Linked DNA regions of Rattus norvegicus. The protein of the gene in region 2 interacts with the protein of the main gene of each other region in a pairwise test. Links are inferred from orthologs where the notes say so. Each region holds a gene or a part of one and is shown on either strand. Other genes may lie near its edges. The genes, in order: Fndc3b and Tox4.

The links.
Region 1: the proteins of Tox4 (region 2) and Fndc3b interact in binary tests that used the Homo sapiens proteins (3 or more experiments, as listed by UniProt). The two-hybrid records come from large-scale screens. The link is inferred for Rattus norvegicus from reciprocal best matches to the Homo sapiens genes TOX4 and FNDC3B.

Annotation. Positions count from the first base shown.
Region 1 is NC_086020.1:112,275,757-112,287,747, forward strand, and holds part of Fndc3b (fibronectin type III domain-containing protein 3B), read right to left. Parts: intron 11,007-11,991; coding exon 10,868-11,006; intron 8,927-10,867; coding exon 8,855-8,926; intron 6,814-8,854; coding exon 6,695-6,813; intron 5,042-6,694; coding exon 4,936-5,041; intron 3,717-4,935; coding exon 3,544-3,716; intron 1,960-3,543; coding exon 1,846-1,959; intron 1,543-1,845; coding exon 1,393-1,542; intron 1-1,392. UniProt on the Homo sapiens protein: May be a positive regulator of adipogenesis.
Region 2 is NC_086033.1:27,460,902-27,472,892, reverse strand, and holds the start of Tox4 (TOX high mobility group box family member 4), read right to left. Parts: upstream 10,159-11,991; 5' UTR 10,103-10,158; coding exon 10,097-10,102; intron 9,933-10,096; coding exon 9,864-9,932; intron 4,819-9,863; coding exon 4,576-4,818; intron 3,848-4,575; coding exon 3,587-3,847; intron 2,965-3,586; coding exon 2,734-2,964; intron 1-2,733. Other genes in the region: Rab2b (ras-related protein Rab-2B), read left to right, coding at 10,510-10,555, 10,766-10,837. UniProt on the Homo sapiens protein: Transcription factor that modulates cell fate reprogramming from the somatic state to the pluripotent and neuronal fate. In liver, controls the expression of hormone-regulated gluconeogenic genes such as G6PC1 and PCK1.

The DNA.
Region 1 (11,991 bases), on a different chromosome or scaffold from region 2:
TTAAGAATCTGTATTTTGAGAGTTAATCTAATTGCTGTTCTTTTGCTGTACTGAAGATTGAAGCCTTGTGTGGCTGCTGGGGGTGCTCTTGGCAGTGGAAGGGAAGGGAGGTTTTCACAGTGGGAATTCAGCTCGGAGCTGCAGGCCATCATTTAACGGGTACAGTCATCTCTGTGGTCAGAGCCGGGTCCCTCAGCGATCAGACGGGTTGGTAATGCTGAGCCACTGGGCAGCTGTCCAGACAGTACAGTTAATAGGTGAAGTGCTGGGAAAGCCACACAGGTCAACACTAGGCACCTCAACTTCCAACGGGAAAACCACAACAGAGCAACAGTTCCCCAATTTTTCTAAACTCCTTATTGTGAGCTAGTTTTAGGCTCACAGAAGAGCTACAGGAAAAAAAATAATATCTGCACAGGTCTTTCCATGCTTCTTCTAGAACCTGCATTTCACTTACTCAAGAATAATAAAAACCTGCCAACTGGGGCTGGAAAAATAGCCCGCTCTGCGGGTAAGCATGCCAGCCAGCCGTACATCCAGAGGACCTGTGTTCAGTTGCCAGGGCCATGCAGTACCTCACAACTGTCTGCAACTGTAGTCCCTCTTCAGGCCTATGTGGGTACTGCATACACATGGTACACAGACAAGCAGGCAGGCAAACACTCGTGCATATAAAATAAAAATAAATAAAATCTAAAAAGAAAAGAGTTTAGAGGCAGAAAGGACCTGCAGAGTACCCTTGGGACAGCACTGTGAACCCAGACCTAACTCAGACCTGCCCACATTTCCAGCCCTCTTTCTTTTATATCCCAGGATTCTGTCTGTGCATGGTTGGGGGTGGCTGGGGACTAAATCCAAGGCCTAGCACTGACCTATGGCACTTCTTAATTAAAATATCATCAAGGAACAGACAAAAATTCCTGAGCAAAACAAAAAATGTTTAAGTCACCTTTTACAAAACCTGCTGTGCTGCTGCCCTCCATGCCTGCTGTGCTGCTGCCCTCCATGCCTGCTGTGCGGCTGCCCTCCATGCCTGCTGTGCGGCTGCCTTCCATGCCTGCTGTGCGGCTGCCTTCCATGCCTGCTGTGCGGCTGCACTGTAACTTTAAACTGTGAGGCAGACTAACCCTTTCTCCCTTACAGTGGCTCAAACCGCTATTGGTTGCGTTTACTAGGTCATCCTGTCAGAGCAACAGGAAAGACACGCACTATAGCACCCAACTGTCGAGAGTCCGCTGGGCGTCTGAACTTGTGTCTTCATGCTTGTGTGGTATGCACTGTTCTGCCTCAGGAGCCATCTGCCCAGCCCCACAGAGGACCCCCTCCCCTTGTGTCCCTCTTCCATGGTCTTCAGCTGCTTTTCTCAAGGGAGTGGAGTCGGAGTGTCCCTACCTGGAGTCTGCAGCAATACTGTGCAGCAGGCAACAGATCTCGGATCTCAAAGCAGGTGTCTGGCCCGTGATAAATGAGTTCTAAGGATTCCTCGTCTTCTCCCCACTCCAACCTGAACTCGGAGATGTCAGCACCAGGGCTTTCAGGGCTCTGCAGGGCAGACGTCTGTAGTTAGTCATTTCACTGAGATGAGAGCACCATACTCCAGGATAGACCAGTACCCATAAAGGGAAGGTAAGACCACTCTGAACTCTGACCACTTCCACAACGGGAAATGACACAACCAACTGTCAAAACGAGATTTTCTTGTATACAGACAAAAGTCGCATGAACACACGTATACACGCATGCAGCCATGCACATGCACACACATGCTTTGGCTTTGTGACATCCTAACAGCTTATATTTGGGGGCAAAGGCAGGAGAAACAGAAATGACGGGCAGCAGACTCACCTCCCAACCCACCAGGACGCATCCATCAGGCGTGAAGGAAACACACGGTGCCCTGCACTGCCCAGGCGGTCCTGCGGCAGTGGTGATCTCTGACACATCAGAGTAGGGACCATACTGAAAGAGAAGAACACGTGCTCACATGTCAGAACGGTCTCTGCATGTGTGTGCATATAAAGGCACAATTAAAGGTAAGGTCAATAGTATCATTAACGCAACTGAATGAAAATAGCTAATGTTTTTTACGTTAAGAAGTATATGGACAAACTACTGATCTTTCCTGGACAGGTAAACATCTATTATATATGTCTGTTTTTTTATTAAAAAAGATGAAGAAGTTAGCACACTTTTCCTTTAATGAGACATCAGGAGTAAGGATCACTCAGTCAAGGACATGAAGAAAGCTAGTTATTACATCATGGCATCATGGGCGTTTGCTCTGGTTGCTGGCCTCCCCTACCCTCCACCAGTACTTTGAGGTAAGGTCTTCCCATGTAGCCTAGGTTAGCCTTGTACCTACGGTGTTCCTGCATCAGTGTCCTGACGCTGGGGTTTACAGAGAGGCCCACCAGATCTAGCTAACCGACGCTGCTATGACAGATTGTCAGAATGTCCTTGGGCCTCACGTGCTTTTTCTTTAGATTGTCAATTGGCTTTTTTCTTCTTTAAAAGTAAGTTTCATCCTTAGTGAAATGTAACAGCTCTCATGATATTCATCTATGCACTCACTGAGGCTCTAGGAGATGTTGGCATTAGCTTGTCCCACCTTTCTGCCCATCTCTGCACTCTTCGTGGGCAGCCTGTTCCTCATCTTCACCCCCTCATATCCCATAAAGCCATATCACTCTGCTACTTCAAAGAAAACAAAAGTCAGTTCCTCTGTGGACCACATACTTCCTCTTAACTTTTGATCTGACCCCCAAATACTAAATGAACAAGACAGCAGAAGAAAGAACCAGAGAACCATGGGGTTTTTAGAGGAATCAGATTTTAAAAAAGTAAGCAGCCTCCTCCCCAGGCTTCGCCGTACTTGTTTAGAACAAAGCATCCTCAGGCATAGACAATATGCTATAATACTCAAAGGTTGTGTGCACACAGGAACACGTACCTGAGGAGGGCAGGCGACAATCTGTTTCCCAGTCCCTTTCCCCCTCTTTTCCTGAGACCAGGCTGGAGCTCATGTAGTAGGCCCAGTAGGCCCAGCAATCCTGTCTCTGCCTTCACAGTGCTGGGGTTTCTGTGGGACTCCCCATGCCTAGCTTTTAAAGATGTGGGTTTTGAGCTCTAACTCATATACGGCAAGTGTTTCCTGACTCACTCTGCCCAGTTCCCCTGGGGAATGTTTAGCAGGACTAATCAGAAGCTCTGATTCTTACAAATGAAGTTACTAAGAATAGGAAATTCTTTCATGATTTATCAAAAATGCTCACAGACACACAGAGATACATACAGACACACACAGGTACACACACAGACAGACAGACAGACAGACAGACAGACAGACACACACACACACACACACACACTTCATAGAAAGAACGAGAGACAAACTTGGCAGTGCTGGGCCCACAGAGCAGCGTGATACCAGCGATTCGCAGATGAGGGTTTTGTTTTATCTACTTGGACAGTGGTCAGGCAGTGACACTCACACCGCTGAGGAGTTGCACCTTGTGCTCTAACTGGCAGCCGAGGCACACTCACCCCTCCGTCATTCAGAGCCCGCACTCTGAAGCGGTACACCGTCCCGGGAAGCAGGTTGCCAACGGTGCACTCCAGCTCGGGCCCGTGGTACACCTCTGAGGCTACCTCCTCAGGTTCCGTCATTTCTACACTGTACTCTGAGACCTCGCAGCCACCTTCAGACGCAGGCACATCTGAGGACAAAAACATTTTCATCTTTGAACACTTTTTTGGATTTTTTAATTTTATTTTTATTCAGGTATGAGTGCTTGGGCATGCATGAGTGTGCACCATGTGTAGAGGCAGAAGAAGGCCCGGAAGCCTCGGAGCCCGGAGTTAAAGGTGGTGAGAGACCACGCGGTCGCTGGGGACTGGAGTTAAAGGTGGTGAGAGACCACGCGGTCGCTGGGGACTGGAGTTAAAGGTGGTGAGAGACACCACGCGGTCGCTGGGGACTGGAGTTAAAGGTGGAGTGAGACCATGTGGTCGCTGGGGACTGGAGTTAAAGGTGGTGAGAGACACCACGCGGTCGACACCACGCGGTCGCTGGGGACTGAACCTGCTTCTCTGCTGCAGCAGCAGCGAGTGCTCTAACCCCGGACCCTTCTCTCCAGCCCCAGTGCTGGATTCCTACTTGACTGAGTTACATTTGGTTTTCTACTGTTATTGTTCAAAATATTTAAGTGACGTGTCCCTGAGTTTCTATTACAAAAGGAGCCTCCTGTTTAAGTGAAAAGGCTCCTGAATGATTCGAAGGACCCAAAGTAAATGCATCTAAACATGCCTGATTATATTACAAATAATTCAGGGACAACAGGAGAACCAGACAACCTTTCACAGTTAATAATGGGGAGGAAGGAAAGAAAAATATCTGTAACTTGAAGTCACACATCCTGCTAAGTCTACACGACCTCAAACTCACACACCATTTTATTACACTTTAGATGTAAGTGTGGCCACAATGTCTGCCCGTGTTCTACACATGTGCACTTGCGATGTGCACACTGGTAGGCTGTTGGCACAACTGAAGTGGTGTTAAGGCAAGGCTAGGAAAATACCAGAGCCCGCAGAGAGTAGGAGCTTGATGCTGCTCTTCGAAACATTTCTTGGTTTAATCTCTAAATTAGACACATTTTCTTTACATGTTGAACAACCCCCAGACAGGCAGGCTACTCTGGAATTTTCTCTACAAACATGGCTGCTAATGGTGAGGGTGGCCACAGCAAGTGCAGCACTGTCAGGCATGGAAGATGAGCCTAGAAGGCTGTGGGATGAGAGAGCCACAGTCCATGCTATAGAGAACATGATCAATGGGTGACACAGCTTCTGAACGAAGCCTTGGAGCTGAGTGGCAGAGCGCCATCAGTCTCCCACTGTCCAGGTCGATGCCAACGTGAAGATTTGTTCACTCACCCCACTCTAAGTGGACTTCTTTGTGCTTTGGTCTACCCAAAACCCTCGGTGGTCGGCACTGACCTGGTGCAAGGCTTAGTGTGCGAACAGGGAGACTTTCAGAGCACTGTGGGAGAAACACCGGAGAGACCATTGCTTAGTTACTGTGAATCGCTCACACCTTATCTACCAGGCTAATTCTATCCCACAATTGTGAATGGGACCAAAGGGAACTACACACTAGTGTGTGTGCTGACATGCATTAAGGTCTTCAGGAGGGCCCACGCCTGTCTGCATGTGGAAGTGTGGGCTCTCAGTGCACATAGTGGTGGTTATACCTAAGGCAGCTCTCTCTGATGTCAGATTACTAGAGCCGACTATTTGCCTGCCATAAGCATTCTTATTTTCCTTTACAGCAACATTAGAAAGACCCTCATGAGGATTCAAGAGAACACACAACAACCGGACAGAATTAAGAATGATACTCTAAATGGCTGGGCAGCCACAGGGAGAGCAGAACAGCAGGTAAAGGGGGCATTTACCCACTGAGCCTGGCTCTTAAAGCAGATCTGCCAATGCTAAAGTGACTGGGCCTCCTTTTTGTAGGATCTTACTCTGCAGAAACTGGTGGGGTGAAAGTTGACCATTGTAAGAGAATCGAGGAAACAAGATGGAGCCAGACAGCGCCAGCTCCTTCCAGGGCACCATGTGTGGGAAATAGACCGTATGTCCCCACCTGATGCATATGCTGCCCTGCCCAACCATGCACAGGCAGGTACCACTGATGCACTATGGCCTCAGTCTGCATCTACTCCAACAGGGAGACATTCCACCAGCCCCCGGGACTCTATACATTTTCTAACTGATTCTATATGTGTTCTAATTGGACTCTTATCCTGTATGTGCGCGTGCGCGTGCATGTGTGTGTCTTTCTGTCTAGACGAAACTCTAGACACTGAGGAACTGCTATGACACACATGGGCAGAATGCTTGTGTATGTGTAAAATTCAGGAAAATGTTATCAATCTGCTACTGGCTTACTAGGTACCATCTCTCTTTCTTGTTCTCTCACCATTAATGGTTTCAAATTGTCTACAGTGAAAACAACACTTCTAGCACAGTACCTCTCTCACGATGTCAATAAGACCCCCAGACTCTCGTCTCTAGAGTACTTTGTGTGCACTGATTAGATTACATCAAACCTGTTAGCATTGCGTGTGGCATAAACCGAGTCCCTGGAGTGCCACCTGGCTGGTCTACAGCCATTCTGACAGAGACAAGTCATGGCTGCTGCCTCCTGGCCCTGCACAGGGAGTTACTGAACTGCAGAAGTGCAAGCAACTTCATCAGATTTATCCTGTCTTTACAAGAGTCTCCCAGCAGGTGGCAGTAAGGGACCTTCACAGATGCGGTACCATCCCAGTACAGCCAGGCAGGTCTGATCCTGACTCTAAATTCACTTTTCCCTCCTTGAAATGATGGAGAGCTCCTTTATTTGGTTAATGCAAATCCTAACTAATTTCACCTGCCCTACGTAACTACATCAAGGTCATGGAAGGGTTAAGTCAGTGACACATGGCCTGTTCACATCAGAATGTGCAGAGAAGGGTTCAGGCCTATGTTTCTTATATCCCTGTAAGTCGAGACTTTTTCACAGCCAGATGAGATACTAAAGCTGGCCACATCAACGAGAAACATTTAAAACTGCAACCTCTTCTGCATTACTGACGGACACTTCCCACTTTGATCTAGATTTCCATTGTCACACTGATAAACCCACCTGACTGTGCCCACCGGTACCGATGCAGCATGCTCGCAGTTTGTACAAAGTGCCTGGTTTCAAATGGGTAAAGACATACTCTGTAGCTGATCCACTGTAGGCCACTTCCCACTGACCAGCTGCAAAATGAGATGTGTATAAGTTTAGGCCTTTTGTAACAGCACGAGAGTCCCTGTTAGAGACAGCATCTGAGACAAAAACACCAAGGGGCTTCCACAGCAGCCCGGCATCACCCGACACAGAATCGCACAGAGGCATTTCCTATAGTCCACTATAACACCATTGGCTTCGAAGTCAGGTGTGGGAAGCCACATCCCATCGGAGTTGTACAAAGATCATGTTGCACAGCTGTGCTCAGCCATGCTGAGGTGGCCACGGGGCCAGCTATGCAGCAGGTGCCTCTGAGGGTGGCCATGAGTCCCTTTACAGACAGAGGTCTTTGGTAAGGGCTTGCTGTGTCTAGGGAGGCCATGCATGAAGCTGTGGTGGGGGTGAGAGACCAGTGGTGAGATACTTGGAGGGTGCCCCCGGAGGCTGACGCTCAGTGGGAGAAGCGCCTGGAGGCTGTCCTCCACTGCCCGCATCAGCAGCAGGCTGCAGGGGTGACTCTCACTGTTTAGCTCCCATTGATGCCATTTCCAGTTGACCACTCCCTGTAAGCCTTTTCCTACAAGAGCTGTTTGAGGGGAAATATGCCCACCCTATCCTATTCATAGAGTAACCTCCACAAATCCCTTCAGCGGCCTGTTAGACATTTATTACTGCCCTGTGGTACTGTGCCTTATTAGGTCCCAGTTAGTATAGAGCCCACGGGAACCGGGAATTCTGGCCAGGCTATCAGTGTAAAACAGCAGCTACTCCTGCACTGAGTCACTGCCTGGGAGAGCCAGGGCAGCGGAAAGCGGACTTTCACTTTCTCAGTAAGCAACTGGGGGTGCTGACTCCTCTCCTCGTCTTAATTAGACATTAAATACGGTCTCTAGTACAGAAACTGATTTTATGTTAAGAACAGCTACACCCATCTCAAAGAATTCTCCTCTTTCTGGTGTAAAATAATACCTAACAGGGTTAAAAACAACCCTACCTCCAGGTGGCCGTGGGGTCAGAACAAGCTAGAGACAATTTCCACTTGTTCCCAGTGACTCTCTCTTTTGCCATATGCATGCACTTTAAAAAAAAAGTAATGATTACAGAAGCCATATTAGTAAAAATTTAGTTATGTTGGAAAGTTTTGACCACCATATATTTTTATGTTGAAGCCCAATGAGTTTTTAGGAAGAAAAAGCAAGAGAAATTTCTATGGGCCCTGAAGTTTTTCTTCCCTTACTCCACCCCGTTTGAATTACTGCTGCATGTGTGGTGAGGGTGCATGTGCACAGTCATGTATGTTGCGGCACACGGGTCTGGGAGCTGGTTCTCTCTACTCACTTTCACTCGGGATTCAGGGATTCAACACAGGCCATTACACTTGCTGGCAAGCCCCATCTTAATACTTGTAGTATGACAATTGATGAGAACTCTGACTCCAGAGTCACAACAGAGCCCAAGTGTGTTCTGGAAGTCTGACACACGTCCGGGGCCACACTATGATGTGGCTGTCACTGGGCAGGGCCAGGATGCCAGGCAGATGACTGCTGACACACTGCTGGTAATTCCCAGATAGTGTGTGGCATTCAGGGGGAGGCCTCAAGTTCATTTTCTCTATTAATGAGTGACCATTGTTTCAAAATGAACATAGAAAATAGAAACAAAAACAGAAACAAACACTAGCTTGTCAAAAATGGGTACTTCAAGCAGAATGAACTGTGGTGTCTGAAAGACAAAACCCTACTTAGGGGCAGAGTTGGCTGTAGAGAGCTTGCTGAGGATGCTTAAGAAGGGAAACTAGCTGCCAATCAAACTCCAGTTAGATGGAGGGAGGGAGGGAGGGAGGGAGGGATGGAGGGAGGGAGGGAGGGAGGGAGGGAGGGAGGGAGGGAGGGAGGGAAATAGGCAGAAGGAGAGATAGACAGATATGCCAATGCTTGGTGTGGCTTAACTACACCACTAGCTCTACTGTTAGAACTAATGGCTGCTGCAGCTACTGCAGAGGGCCTGACCATGTCAGGATGAGGACTCTGGGTGGGAAGGCATTGTGTAATACAGTTTCCAAAGTGTCACCTTCAGAAGCACCGTCCGTGATCTCCAGCAGATACTTCAGGATTTCTGAGCCACCGTTGTCCTTTGGAGCATCTGCAGAGTAGGTGAACATTAGTGAGGAGGGCACTGGGTGTCACTGGTAAGCATCCTTACAGAGTGCAAAAGGACAGCCACTAATCAGCCTTCCACTGGAAGTGGGCCAAAAAGCACAACTCATCATTTTCAAGAACCCTGCCCCTTAAAGTTTTTTCCTGAGACAGCATTGCTCTCTCAGGTTGGCCTCAAAGTTTTGGGAATGCTCCTGTGTCAGTACCCCACCCTGACCCCAGTACCGAGATTACAGGTATGACTCCCCCCAACTGGCCCCCTCAATGTCAAGAAACGGAATTTTATCAAGCTGCTATTTCAGGTTATTGAAATAAGAGTTGGCACTGACTTAGTGAAACACGCATAAAACTTGACAGGAGGAATGATTTTCCTAAAAATGGCAACTCTGGAGAAATCTGAAGTGGCTCTTTAAGAATGGGCGACTTTTATGGAAAATTGAAATATTCAGGTATTTATCTTGTTTTATTATTCTTACTTCATATGTTTATGAGCAACTAGATGCTTTTGAAAAAGGGTAGAGAAGGGTTGGGGATTTAGCTCAGTGATAGAGCACTTGCCTAGCAAGCGCAAGGCCCTGGGTTCAGTCTCCAGCTCCGAAAAAAAAAAAAAAAAAAAAGAAAAAGGGTAGAGAAAAAATGCACTGACAAAATAATTAAATGTTGGAATGGAGTAACCATCTTACCTCACTTCTCTACCCAGCAAACTTTACCTCCCCAGGTCTGGATGCAGAACACAGTAATCAGCACCTGCACCGGGCACCCTGGGGGGACAGCCTGGTCTGCTTGCAGAGCCCCATGCCACCTTGGATCAATGGTCTACAGACACGTCTAACTGCAAGGGCTTTGCTTTGTGAGTATACAAATACCAGGCAGAATGATTTTTGTCAAACTAAAGAATTCATCGTCCTTGCACACGGAGGGGGCTTTCCCAGGCCTTGATGTTACATGGATTTGTGGAGCTCTCTTCCCAGGTGGGCATTTATCACACACACTTCAGTAATAACATGTACAGTAGTCGTGATAAGGACAAACCCAGCACAGAGCTAAGGGGGCTCCTGGGAGGCAGGCAGCCAGGGCGGACCCCAGGCAGCCCGGACAGCCTATCCCTGTCCTCCAGAGAAACCGACGTCAGAGCCCTCTGGAACCTCAGCACAGCACACTTGGTCTCCAAGGAAGAGCGATGCTTTACTGTGCCCTGCGCTCAGTCCCTTACGACTCTGACACTTCCTGCTTTGCCCTTCCCTTGCTACTCATTCATATCCTCACAGGACATCAGTGCAGAGCACACGTGTCCCAACAGCTTTACACATGATTAAAAGTGCTACAACCGCGGTGACATGCGTCTCCATGCTCTGCAGAGCTGAATGTCAGTGTCCTCCCAGGTGACCTCAGTCGGGCTGAAAACCCTGAAACTCACGAGTAGAGGAGGGGGCAGGGGGCAGGTGCACTGCAGGCAGCACAGAAATAACGTCTCCTATTTTATTATAACTGAAACATTTTGTATATTTAAAAAAAATCTATTCAGGATTACATATCTAGATTTGAAATCCAATCTCAACTTAAAAATATTTTATATTAAAATTCATTGTTTTTTTAAAAGTGAGCTATTAAGGAATGAATTATCATAAATTCTCAAACTCAAATTAACAAAACATTTAAAATAAAGGAGAAAAATGTAACATAGAAAATATGAAATAAAAGAGATACAAATATAAGCCTGGGGTACAAGCAGGGAGGTTGAGGCAAGAGGACAGTAACTCTGAAACTGGTCCCTTAAGAGGTCTACTAAAGTCTGACTACCTGCTAATATTCAGCTGTCCCCTCCAGTCCTCACACATGTATAACAGATGCACAAAGCCCTCAGAGGTGATATTTTCTACTTGTGTTTGATTTGTCACGGCCATAGCAGGGCAGGAGACAGACATACCCCACTTGACACTGAAGCCATGCGACGTGACGGGTCCTTTGAGGAGGGGTCTGGTGGGAGGTCCAGGTCTGTCGGGGCTGGTTGTACAAACCAGGACTTCACTCGGACAGCTCTTCCCTTCCGTATTAGAAGCAGTCAGCTGCAGAGGAGACGTTAGCACATGTTGGTTATGGGCTATCATGTCTCCTGGGACTTGGGACCACTGCCAAGTTAGACATGGACAGACTGACACATATCCACCCAGTCACGTGTGTGCTTTCTTTAGGCTGCTGATTTAAGTGTTTGTGATTACTTCATCTACTTATATTTGATTATTAACAATTAAAAATAAAACCAAAAGGTAGGTTTCAGCTAAAGACATCTGCATATCCTTCCAAGAACAAATATAAGCCTAGGGTACAAGCAGGGAGGTTGAGGCAAGAGGATGGTAACTCTGAAGCCTATGGCTTTAGGCTATGCAGCAAGTTCTAGGAACTCCTGGAATAGAGGGGGACAGTGCTTCACTAGAGGAAGAGGAGGGAGGAGGAAGAAGAGGAAGAGGAGGGGAGGGGGAGGATGAGGAGGAGGAGATGGCCGCTGCAGTGGTACTATATATAGAACCAGTAGTTTCCATTTATTCTGTGCTGTGTGCTGAAAAGAAAACACAGGGATAAACCAGACAGAACTTTATTTATGGAAGAGTCAGATAGTGCCATCTTGTGGACACCATCAGTAGTACAGCTAGCTGTGTTCCAGGAGCCAAGATTGGTATTTTTAGCATAGCAAGAAACAATTATATGCCTCAAATAGTCAGTCACAACATTCCACTTGATAATTTGACAAATACTGAAGTGACTACATGCCAAATTAAATTACTTAGCCCTAAAATTAGAGAAAGGAGGGCGGAGACTCCTCAGGGCACACAAGGAAATTGGGTGCCGTGCATAGGACAGACGAAGGACTGTGGTGTAGAAGGAAAAGCATTGAGAGCAAAGCAAAGCAGCAGCTTGCACTTCTGTAGCTGCAACATAGATCTGTACTGTGATGTAAGTGGTGACTGGTTATGAGCAAAGGTCGCCTAAGCCAGCAGCTCTCAACTATGGGTCACAGCCCTTTTGGGAGTCGAATGCCCCTTCTGCAGGGGC
Region 2 (11,991 bases):
TGTTACTGAATCTGGGCTATCTCTGTGACTTGTTTGATCATTAGAATGTTAGATGTCTATGAATTTGAGGCCAGCCTGGTCTACAAAGCCAATTCCAGGACAGCCAGGATCCCACAGAAGCCCTGTCTTAAAAAACAAAACGCCCCAAAGCCACACGAAAGGCTACAAGGAATAACAACACAGCAACTAACAGATGGACGGAAGTATCTGCCAGCTCTAGCCAGCCACACTCCATCGTCTGCTTAAAACAAAGTCAGCCTTCTGTTTAGATATTGAGGATTTGCTTTGACAGAAGATACAGGCACAGAGGGTAATGATAATTACAGCTATCTTCAGTTTACATGCCTTGATGATTCATACCCTCAACCCCCGTCAACACACATACTCCACAAGCTAGCCTCGAAACTCATGATCCTCTCTCTGCCTCTGCCTCTGCCTCTGCCTCCTAAGTGCTAGAACCACAGCAGTTTCTCTTTCCTAAAGGCTAAAGAGATGGTGTATATGTGTCTCAGTGTTGTTGACGCCAAATAGCTATTCGACCCTGCCCTCCCCTCCCAAGTACAACTGGGACTACATGCATATGCCACTATTACCAGTTGATTTTTTTAAAATTCTGTTTGAATCTAGGGAACACACACACACACACACACACACACACACACACACACACACACACACACAAGGACACAAGGGAAAACACACACACAGTTTTCAAGCTTACACTTGATGAGAATACCATTAATGAAACTATACCTGAAACTTTGAGGGACAGTTTCAACGTGTAACTTACCAAGAAATATCTTAACTTTACAAATAGAAAAAACACAAGGCTTTGGAAAGTTAGCCTAAAAACTGAACAGTTAAAGACAGAAGAGCAGAAGAGAAATCAGGCACTACTGGATGTTATGTGGAATTTCAAGTTAAGGGGACAAGGCTGCCCAACTGTACCATTTAGAAGCTCTATGACCTTAACTGGGCAGAGAACCTCAGAACCCCTCTTTATATCTTTTCCTTCCTTCCTTCCTTCCTTCCTTCCTTCTCTCTTTTTTTTTCTTCTTTTTGAGACAGGGTTTCTCTGTGTAGCCGTGGCTGTCCTGGAACTTACTCTGTAGAGCAGGCTAGTTCAAACTCAAAAGGTCTGCTTGCCTCTGCCTCCTGAGATTAAAAGCATGCATCACCATACCTGGCAGAATTCACCATTAGTAAAAGGAGAATTATTTTACAGCTTTGGAAAGATGCAGTATTTTCATAATGAAATTTTATTAGTTACTTATTCTGTGTGTACATGCGTATGCTCTTGGGTATGCATGTAGAGATTAGAGGACAAGGTAATTCTTCCCTTTCACCATGAAGAATATTGGGTTCAAGATCATCAGATGCCTTTACACAGTGGGTGCCAATTTGCAGTCCCACGTACAGTTGGGATTTTTAGGGTAGAGATTTAGCTCAGGAAGAGAACAGACACTTAGCATGTATAAAGCCTTGGGTTTGTTATCCAGCACAACAACAATAACCAAATTAAAATGATTTTTTTTCCTGAATCTTCTAAGATAAAATGTGTGAGCCAGGCAGTGGTGACTTACAACTTCAATCCCAGCACTCAGGAGGTAGAGGCAGGTGGACCTCTATTTTAAGCTAGCCTGCTCTACAGAGTGAATTCCAGGACAGCTAGGGCTATACAGAGAAACCCTGTATGGAAAACAAATGTGTTTATGCCATTAACAAAGAGCCCTCTGACAGGTAAAGATGTGTGGTAGTTTGAATCAAGAATGGCCCTCATGGGCTGGAGAGATGGCTCAATGGTTAAGAGCACTGACTGCTCTTCCAGAGGTCCTGAGTTCAATTCCCAGCAACCACGTGGTGGCTCACAACCATCTGTAATAAGATCCATGCTCTCTTCTAGTGTCCACTGAAGATAGCAACAGTGTACACACATAAATCTTAAAAATAAATTAATCTTAAAAAAAAATTGTCGTGTCCCCCCCCCCCCCCCCCCCCCCCGCCACTTGAATGCTCACTTAGCCACCAGAGACTTGCACTGCTTGAGTAAGACTGGGCAGTGTGGCCTGTTGGAGGGAGCATGTCACTGGAAGTGGGCACTGAGGTTCTAAAGGCCAAGCTGGGCCCACTGTCCCTGTTTCTGCTGACAGCAGATCAGGATGTAGAACTCTCAGCTACTTCTATGCTGCATGCTCCATGATGAGAATGGACTAAACCTCCGAAACCATAAGCAAGCCCCAATTAAATGCTTTCTTTTACACGAGTTTTCTCATGGGCCGAAGGGATAGCTCAGTGGTTGAGAGCACTAACTGTTCTTCCAGCGGTCCTGAGTTCAATTCCCAGCAACCACATGGTGGCTCACAACCATCTGTAAAGAGATCTGATGCCCTCTTCTGGTGTATCTGAAGACAGCTACAGTATACTTATATATAATAAATGAATAAATCTTAAAAAAAAAAACCAAAGTGGGCTGGAGAAATGGTTCAGAGGTTAAGAGCACTGGCTGCTCTTCCAGAGGTCCTGAGTTCAATTCCCAGCAACCACATGGTGGCTCACAACCATCTGTAATGGGATCCAATGCCCTCTTGTGGCTCCCAGGTGTACATGCAGATAGAGTACTCATACATAAAATGATTAAATAAAAAATAGTTGCTGTGATCATGATGTCTCCACACGAACAGAGTACTGAATAAGGTTCTGTCCACTTAAAGATGTTTACTACCCACAATTCACCTGTTTTTGCTCTTCTCCAAGACTGTCCCACATGGAAGCCACAATCTTGGAAACCTCCCCAAAGGTTGCATTTGGGTTCTGTCCCTTGATGGCTGCCTGAGTATCTCGGAAGAACAGTGCATACGCAGAGACTGGCTTTTGAGGTTCATTAGGGTCTTTCTTTTTTCTCTTCTTGGGAGCCTTTTGCTTTTTCCCTGTTTCCACTACCACTGTCTTCTGGGCAGGAAGTTGCTGTCGGAGAAAAATGGAGAGAATTAAAAGTCAGCAGAAGGGGCTGGGGATTTAGCTCAGTGGTAGAGCGCTTGCCTAGGAAGCGCAAGGCCCTGGGTTCGGTCCCCAGCTCCGAAAAAAAGAACCAAAAAAAAAAAAAAAAAAGTCAGCAGAAGGGAAGAACTGGGTCTGGAGACCTTTAAGAAAAGGGTTTGGGGGGCTGGAGAGATGGCTCAACGGTTAAGAGCACCCGACTGCTCTTCCAGAGGTCATGAGTTCAATTCCCAGCAACCACATGGTGGCTCACAACCATCTGTAAAGAGATCCGATGCCCTCTTCTGGTGTATCTGAAGACAGCTACAGTGTACTTATATATAATAAATAAATAAATCTTAAAAAAAAAAAAAAGGGTTTGATAGGAGCAAACTATGCTGGAGATGGCTCAGCAGTCGGGGGGTGGGGGTGAGCACACACAGCCGTGGCATCTAAGAGAAACGGAAGCCATGGTTCTGAACGTCCTACTTGAGGCTCACTAAGGACAGTGATTGAGATGGGAACCCAGAACCAAGGACAGATGACTGGCCTTTGCATGACAAGCATTTCCCTAGAGTAACAGAAATTACTTTGGCAGGGAAGGCCTCACCCTCCGGAAATCATCAACACCATCCTCATGAAGTGAATTGGTAGGTGAAGGAGTAGTTGAAAGACGATCCTCAGGTGACTGGGCGGGTGGCAAGATGGTGCCACCTCCTAAACTCAAACCAAGTTGAGAACTCAGTTCTGACTGATCAATAGTGGTCAACTGGCTGTGTCCCATTAAGCCAGATGTCATGTCTGTCATCGGTACATCAATTGTAACAGGTGGGTTGGCACTATACTGAGTTCCTATGGAATGGTCCAGGTCCTGAGAGAAGCAGAAGGACTAATTAAACGCTAAGTATTAAAATACAATGTCCCCTCCTTATAAATCCCTGGGCTTATGTAGACTCTCATCATTTAAATCCTACAGAACAGGAGATAATCTGTCTGCATAAAAAACATGTTAGGGGCCAGGCTTGGCGTTACCGGCCCTGAACTCCAACACTGGGAGATAAGAGCCAGATGGTGAAAGCTCTGAGTGTGAGGGGCTAAACCCACTTGTATTTCTGAAATAACAGTTCTTGAAGTTGTAATGCATGGGCAATGACAGCAGAGAAGCTGAAGTGGAGACAGATGTCTGTTATCAAACAATAAGATGGAGACGTGCTACTGACGAACTGCTGGATACCCTAAAAGTTTATATTAGAGTCTACAACTGCTATATTTGGTTCAGCCCATTTTTTAATAAATCACTCAATGCGACACTTACACATTAGAATTCCAGAATATGAAGGCTATTACGAAAAACAAAACCCTTTTAAAACTTAAATAATTTTCATTACAGAATATCCAACATTGGATATTTTACAATTTAAAATTATTTTTTTCAAGAAAATCGCAATCAGGTAAAATGAAGTCTTTGTCGTTCAGTCTTTAGCTATAACACTAGGAAAGAGGTACCACCCATGTTTAGCAGGCAATAGGGATTAACTTTTGTCTTCCTTAAACCACTCCTATGAGCTTGGGTGAGCTTACCCCTCTGTTACTTCTTACCATAGTCAAGCCCCCACTCAGGAGCCCCCCGCCCTGCTCCATCAGGCCATGGGTCATGCCCACAGGCATGTCCAATGTCTGGACCCCGTATTGAGCTGAGAAGCTGCCATCCTGGGAAGAGGAGGGGTCTGCCAGGTCATCAAAGTGGCCAACCACATCTGAAACAGCCAGTGAGGGATCAGAGTCCAAGGAGATAGGTGGGATTTCAAATTCCTCATCGCCCAAGCTTGGTGTATGGAATGTCTGCATGAAAAAATGGGGAAAGAATTAGTAGGAAGAGGAGAAATACATCACTTTGTAACAAGATTCCGTAGACCACGGTTTACAAATAAAGCTCTTTTTAACCTTCAGATCTGTGGCCATGTCATACACCTGAGAATCCAACACCATTCACAATGGTCATTTATTTCCTCTCTTCAGCCTTTGCTAGCTTTGTCTTAAATTACTTCTCCTATTCTAGTAAAGTCAGCACAAAGAAGGAAACCGTCTACGATGCTTAATATCCACTACCGATGCTAACAGACGCCAGTTATTTCACAATGGTTACAACTTTAGACCACAGAAATTCGCTGTTCACCAACCAATCACTTTGTTGTTCTAGGGTTCATTTAGAGCAAATCCTAAAAGATAAAGCCATGGAAAACTTACCTACTCTGAAATATTTGCACTGAAGAGTTTCTTAGGACCTTACCATTATTTCAGTGTTAGCAACACAATTCTTAGTACATGATAATAAAAAGAGGATGGATATGAGCTACAGAGTGAAGTGAGGCCAGCACGCCTCACTCAACACAGTAAGACCCTGTTTAAAAAACCAAAAGGTAAACAAGGAGGAAAGATTAGTGCACCTGGCTAAAGACTGGTCCCTTCCTAAGTCAGACTATAAAATCAATCCTTTCTAGGTTTTGGGTTTGTTCCACTCTACCCTCTTTTTCTCTCCTCTCTCTACCCGCTCCTTCCTTCCTTCCTTCCTTTCTTTCACTTATTTATTTATGTTTAGTTTTTGTTTTTTGAGACAAAGTTTCTCTGTATCTTTGTATCTCTTTGTTCTTTGAGACAAAGTCTCTGTAGATAGCCTTAGCTATCTCAGGACTCATTTTGTACACTAGGCTGTCCTCAAATTTACAGAGATCCTCCAGCCTCTGTCTCCCTAGTGCTGGGATTAAAAGCATGTCCCATGACACCCAGGTTCTTTTAAAGACCTTGTCTTAAATGACAAGCTTCTTGACTGCTGGAATTATAATTCGTGTCATTACACCCAACTTCACCCCTATTCTGAATGGGGTCACTATTCCCAGAACTAACAGCAAATATACTACGATATATTAGACAGTTTCCTTGTGGCACTAAAAAACGGAAACAGAAGCATTTGGAGCAATAAAATGTTTTAAGTAACAAGCAAGAGGCTTTGTAGAAAGAGCTGTGGCTCACCAAGCTCATGACCTTGAACAGGTTTTCCTTATCTATAAAAATAGAGCCTATGGTCTGAACAATGTTGCACACTGGTTTTAGCCTGCAAGAGACGGAGCCAGGGAGGTGACCATGAGTTTCCACCCAGACAGGGCTGTATAGTTTGTTTCAAGCCATCCTGTGAAAGACCCTATCTCAAGAAAACAAAACCAAGCTGAGTGTGGCAGCACATACCTTTAGTCCTAGCACTCCAGGGGCAATGCCCTTAGTCTAAATGTTCCTAGACTCTGGGCTTCTTTGAGGGAAAAGCCAGTTTGAGGATTACATTTATAAGAAAGATGCCAAGGAGCTAGTGAGATAGCTCACTGGGTAAGGTGCATGCCACTATGCCTACCAACGTGAGTTCAATCCCTGGTCCTTAATGGGAGAGGGAGGGAGAGAGATGATGGGGGCGGGGGAGAGAGAGAGAGAGAGAGAGAGAGAGAGAGAGAGAGAGAGAGAGAGAGCACGTGCGCGTGCGCTCACCTGCCCTCCACCCCTCATCCCCCTTCAGGACATGTGAACACATATGTAGTAAGTAAATAAAATAAAATGCTATTAAAAATAAAAATAAAGATGATTATTGGTTGAAGGAAGGCAGAAGAGATGACAACAGTTGAGAACGTTTGCTGCTCTAGAAAAGGACACAGACTCAGTTTCAGCACCCGCTCTGCTCACAACTATCTTTAACTCTAACTCCAGGAGATCAGATGCCTTCTGTCCTCTGCATGCACACTTAGACACACAAAGCATGAAAACTAGCATTCCTCCCCTCTCCTCATCCTACCTCCTGGTGCTTCTCTATCCTCCTCCCTTTGTCTGGAGGCTCAAACTCGGAATCTTCCCATTACTAAGCAAAAACCCTTAAACTGACCTATATCCCAGTTATCTATTATTTTAAAGAATAGTTTCTTAGAGCTTCGTGGTTTAGAGCATTTGCTGCTCTTCCAGAAGACCAAGAAATGGATTCCCAGCACCCACATGGTGGCTTACAATGTGTATAAATGCAGACCCAGAGGAATCTCTTGCCCTCTTCTGACCTCCACGGGCACCAGGCACATGGTGCACAGACATAGATGCAGGCACAACACCCATACACATAAAACCTCCCCAGCCCCTATAATTATGTATTTGATATAAGTTCTTTTTTTTTTTTTCTTTTTTCTTTTTTTCGGAGCTGGGGACCGAACCCAGGGCCTTGCGCTTCCTAGGTAAGCGCTCTACCACTGAGCTAAATCCCCAGCCCCTTGATATAAGTTCTTAACTGGAACACAGCCAATTTTTTTCTATTATTTTATGCTCCATAGGGGCATTTTCTTTCTGATAATATAAAAACAAAAACCAAACAAACTTGAAAAATGACTGTTCTTCAGAAAGAATTGCTTTAAAAGGATCATCTATTTTTTAACTTGTCTGTGATGGCTCAAAATAAGGCTGGAAACACAAAACCCATACATTCATTAGCATAGAGGTTAAAAGCCAGGCATGGCGGTATATATTTTAATCCCAGGACTCAGGAAGAGAGGCAAATGAAGGCCAGCCTAGTCACACAGCAAGTTTGCTGTCAGCCAAGTGAAACAATTCCCCCTAAACAAAACGAAAACAAAGTTTAAAAATTCACTGAGAGGCAGAAACAAGTAGGTGGACAAGTTGTAAGCAACAAGAACAGAGTCCAGGCCTAAAGGAGGCTACTGAAATGGAGCTTAAAACTCAGCTGCATGTCCTCTCTTCTCAACAGAAACGTCACAAGCCGTAACAAAACAAAACAAAGGGCAGGAACAAGCCTGGAAAATCCTTCCTTTTTCTGCCAGTGCTGGATCAAGGGTCCAGCACACAGTAGGCCAGTGCTTCTCTCCCTAGTCCCTGGATGTTAAAAGTGCCATCACTCACTTTCCTATTCCCTTCTCTGCCTTTATAAAAATAAATGATTTGTGCAACTTGTAAAAAAAAAAAAAAAAAGTGCCATCACTCATGGAGTTAGTCTTTGATCAACTTCAGACACAAGACTAGTAGGAAAAATTGGAAAGCTGTGTTCACTTTTTTTCCCTTTTCGGAGACATGGTCTCTCTATGTAATTCTGGAACTTAAAGAGATACACACATGCTTCTGCCTCCCGAATGCTGGGATTACAATTATGGATGTGTAACACTACACCCAGCCTTGTATTTACTTTTAAAATGTACTTTCCTATAAATAAGGACAGTGTGACTTACAGCACTCCAAACAATGAAATTAGACCATAGAAGACCTCTTGGAAGGAACTCGAAATAAAATCACCAAGTGCAAGACTCAGTTTCTTTTCTAACTTTGCCATTCATTTGTGCCATCCCTTTGTTTAGGAAAATATTCAATAATAATAAGTTGAAAAAATAAACCAGCAGCCAGGAGAGCACACCTTTAATCCCAGAAAAGAGTTCTGTTTTGAATGGGAAGAATTCTTTACTGGAAAGGCAGAAGCAGGAGGATTTCTTTGAGTTTGAGGTCAGCCTGGCCTATATAGTGAGTTTCAGGACAGCCAGAGCTATGTAAGACTGTCTTTTATAAAAAAAAAAAAAAAAAAAAAAAAAACAACAACAACAAAAACAACCCAAAAGCAAACTAGCAATTACTTACTGTCAATCATCTCTCAACCATAGGATAAACCTACACAAAGGCAATGGACAACTACTTTTGGTGCAAAAAAACATACAAATGAATTCACAGCACTTTGGGGGGGGTAGTATATAATCCTCAAAAGAAGGACCCTGGCTCAAGTTCTCAAAAAATGGGAAAATTTCATACACTGCACCTTTTTTTTTTTTTTTCCCCAGAGCTGGGGACCGAACCCAGGGCCTTGTGCTTGCTAGGCAAGCGCTCTACCACTGAGCTAAATCCCCAACCCCACACTGCACCTTTTATACACTTTCATACACTGCTTGCCCAAATAAGTGTTATTATGCTTATAGTAGGAGAATCTGTCAACCAAAAGTTTTTCAGAATATCTTAGAGAAGTGGCTCTCAACGTTCCTAATGCTGCATGGACCCTTTACCACAGTTCTTCATGCTGTGGTGACCCCCAACCATAAAATTATTGTCGTTGCTATTTCATAACCATAAGTTTGCTACTATTATGAATCATAAAGTAAGCATGTTTTCCCATGGTCTTAGGCGACCCTTGTTGAAGGCCTTAGAACCTCTGACAACCATTATTTTCTACTTTACACCATCTTTAAAAAGCAAAACAAAACAAACAAACCCTCTTATTATGGTCATTTGACAACTGTAATCCAAAGGGGGAAGTAATCAGTTTGTGAAGAGAAACAGGAAACTGGGAAACAAGTGCTCTCTACTCCTTTTATGTTCTCTAGCAGCTATCTCTTTCCCTCGGTCCTTCCATAGCAAAGCAAACAGAAGCCACGTCAGTTAAGGTTAACCACTTCGATCAGAGAAGACCTTTCAAATGAAAGAGACCAACATAGAGTTCAAGAATTAACAACTGTCCGAGGTTAATCCCTGCTAGATAAACTACTTTCTATATCTTGATTTCTTTACTGAAAAAAATTTTTTTTCTTGCTGTCTCCCAAGACTGTTAATTATTTCACCCCAACCAAAGAACAATTCCATTCGTTCTTTCTACTCGGAACAGAGAAACTCTTTAAGGAAATAGGCTGTTTTTTCAACATCCTGGTTTTCTGATGACAGCCGCTTTCCGTTCTTCCCCCGTCCACAGTCCTTAGAGGTGCTCGAAGCCTCGGACACTGTCCCCCTTCAGCTCCCGCCAGCCCCCGCGCTCACCTCACCGTCCACCCCAACCGCTGCCTAGGCCCTCCGGCGCCCCAGCATCAGCAGCTTTTGCTCACCTCGGCCCCTGACAGGAAAGGGTGCGAGGGCCCAGTGATCGTCAGGTAATTGTCATTTCCTCCGGGAAACTGTAAACCAAAAGAAAGCCGCGGGGATAAGTGAGCGGAGTAGGGGCGTGCTGAGACTCCAGTCCTCCCAGCACTCCCGAGCCCCCCTCGCTCCTCAGCATTCTCGCTTCTGCTTCCACCAGTCGGCCACGAACCCTCATTAACCCTCCAGACTTAGCCCCTACCTCCATCTTCACAACACCACCACCAGCGTCTCAGCGACTCCGCGTCCGCATCGCTCCCACCGCCCCCACTAAGTTCCGAGAGCGTCACTTCCTCAAGGAGTAGCGTCGCTCTCCGGTGATTGGACCGAGTCAAGGGACGCAACCAGTCGCTAGCCGAGCTGCCCGAAGGTCGCTGTCGCCCCCTGGAGCTTGGTGGGATAATGGCATGTAGAAGAGCATGGGGCGGCCCTAGAGGCGGTGTCCTGGATTCGGGATCCGGCGAAGATTTCTGGGGAGAGCAATAGAGACGCAGCTTGAGCTAGAAGGGCTGGAGTGGAGGCAAATAAGGAGATCCGTAGATTGAGCGGCTAGAGAGGTCGGAGGTAAGTGGCTGTGGAAATCGGGAGGACCCGGAACACCGACACCTCGGGACCATGACTTACGCTTATCTCTTCAAGTACATCATCATCGGAGACACAGGTAACCCGCCAACGGACCGCCTTCGGGGCTGGGGCGGGGATCCTACCTCCAAAATCGGCTTGCGGGCGGGGCGGGGCGAGCGGAGTTGAGTGGAGGGGGCGGGGCGAGCTCCGGGGGCGGGGCTCTGCCCCTCCCTTAGACCCTGTGCCCCTCCTGGGAGCTTGCGGCTTCCTGGGTGACCTGCATCTAATGCACACCGTTATTTTTCAGGTGTGGGGAAGTCATGTCTCCTCCTTCAGTTTACCGACAAGCGGTTCCAGCCTGTGCACGACCTCACAATAGGTAAGCTTATCTCCTGGTCCCAGAACAGATAAAAGCTAGCTCGCAGAACTGCGAAAGGAGAAAGCTAACAGTCTCGGTATTCTAAATAAAAAGTTAACTTCTCGCTACCTTTGTCTGAAGTCATGGTATATGAAAAACGATAAAAGCTGGTAAGTGGAGAGTAAATGATTGAAAGGTAACTTTAGAGATGGGTGTAAGATACATACTAGTCGTAGGGTTTTTTTCTTCAAATGCAACTTGAATGCTTATGGAAAAATTCCACAGAAACATGCTTATTAAACTCATCCGTAGTTTGTGGTTAACTACCAGCCTCACATGCTTTTCAAAGGAAACACCGACCGATCCTTTTAGGACTGGAGAGGTAAAAGCCAATGTAAGGATCTTTCCAGTTCTTCCTCCACCTCTACCTCCTTTTTCCTCCACCTTTTCTTCTTTTGGAGGCAAATTCTGGCTATTTAGTTCATACTAGCCTCAGATTCACTATATAACCCACACCCGGCACGAACTCCCAGAAATCCTCCTGCGTTAGCCTCCAAGCACTGTGATTACAGGCATGTACCATCTCATGGGCTTTCTTAAGTTTATTTTTGTCCCGAGACTGGCTTTGAACTCCATGGGTAATCTGACAATGACTTTAAATAAGTCTTGATCTTCCTACCCCTACATCTTAAATGCTGGGATTAGATATGAAGCACTGTGCTCAGCCTGTTTTTTTTAGTTTCTTTCTTTTTTTTTTTTTTCTTTTTCTTCTTTTTCCCTTTTCTTTTTTTCGGAGCTAGGGACCGAACCCAGGGCCTTGCAAGCGCTCTACCACTGAGCTAAATCCCCAACCCCGTTTTTTTAGTTTCTTACTCATTGAAATTACATTCTTATTGTTCTAAAAAAAAAAAAAAGTTGACAGTGATTTTTCTTCAAAAAATATCTTTTGATTTTTGTTGAGGTAACAGGTATTTTATACAGCACCTTAAAGTAAAAATATTTATATAGAGAATATATTTACATAGGATGACTGAATCAGTACTGTATCATATCTAAAAGCAAGCTAGATTAGTAATCTTTCTTGGAAATATGAATTCAAATGCTATGTGCAAAATACTATTTTGAAAATAGAAAAGGGGATGAATTGTCTGCTTATGATGCAGTGAGGGTTTTTT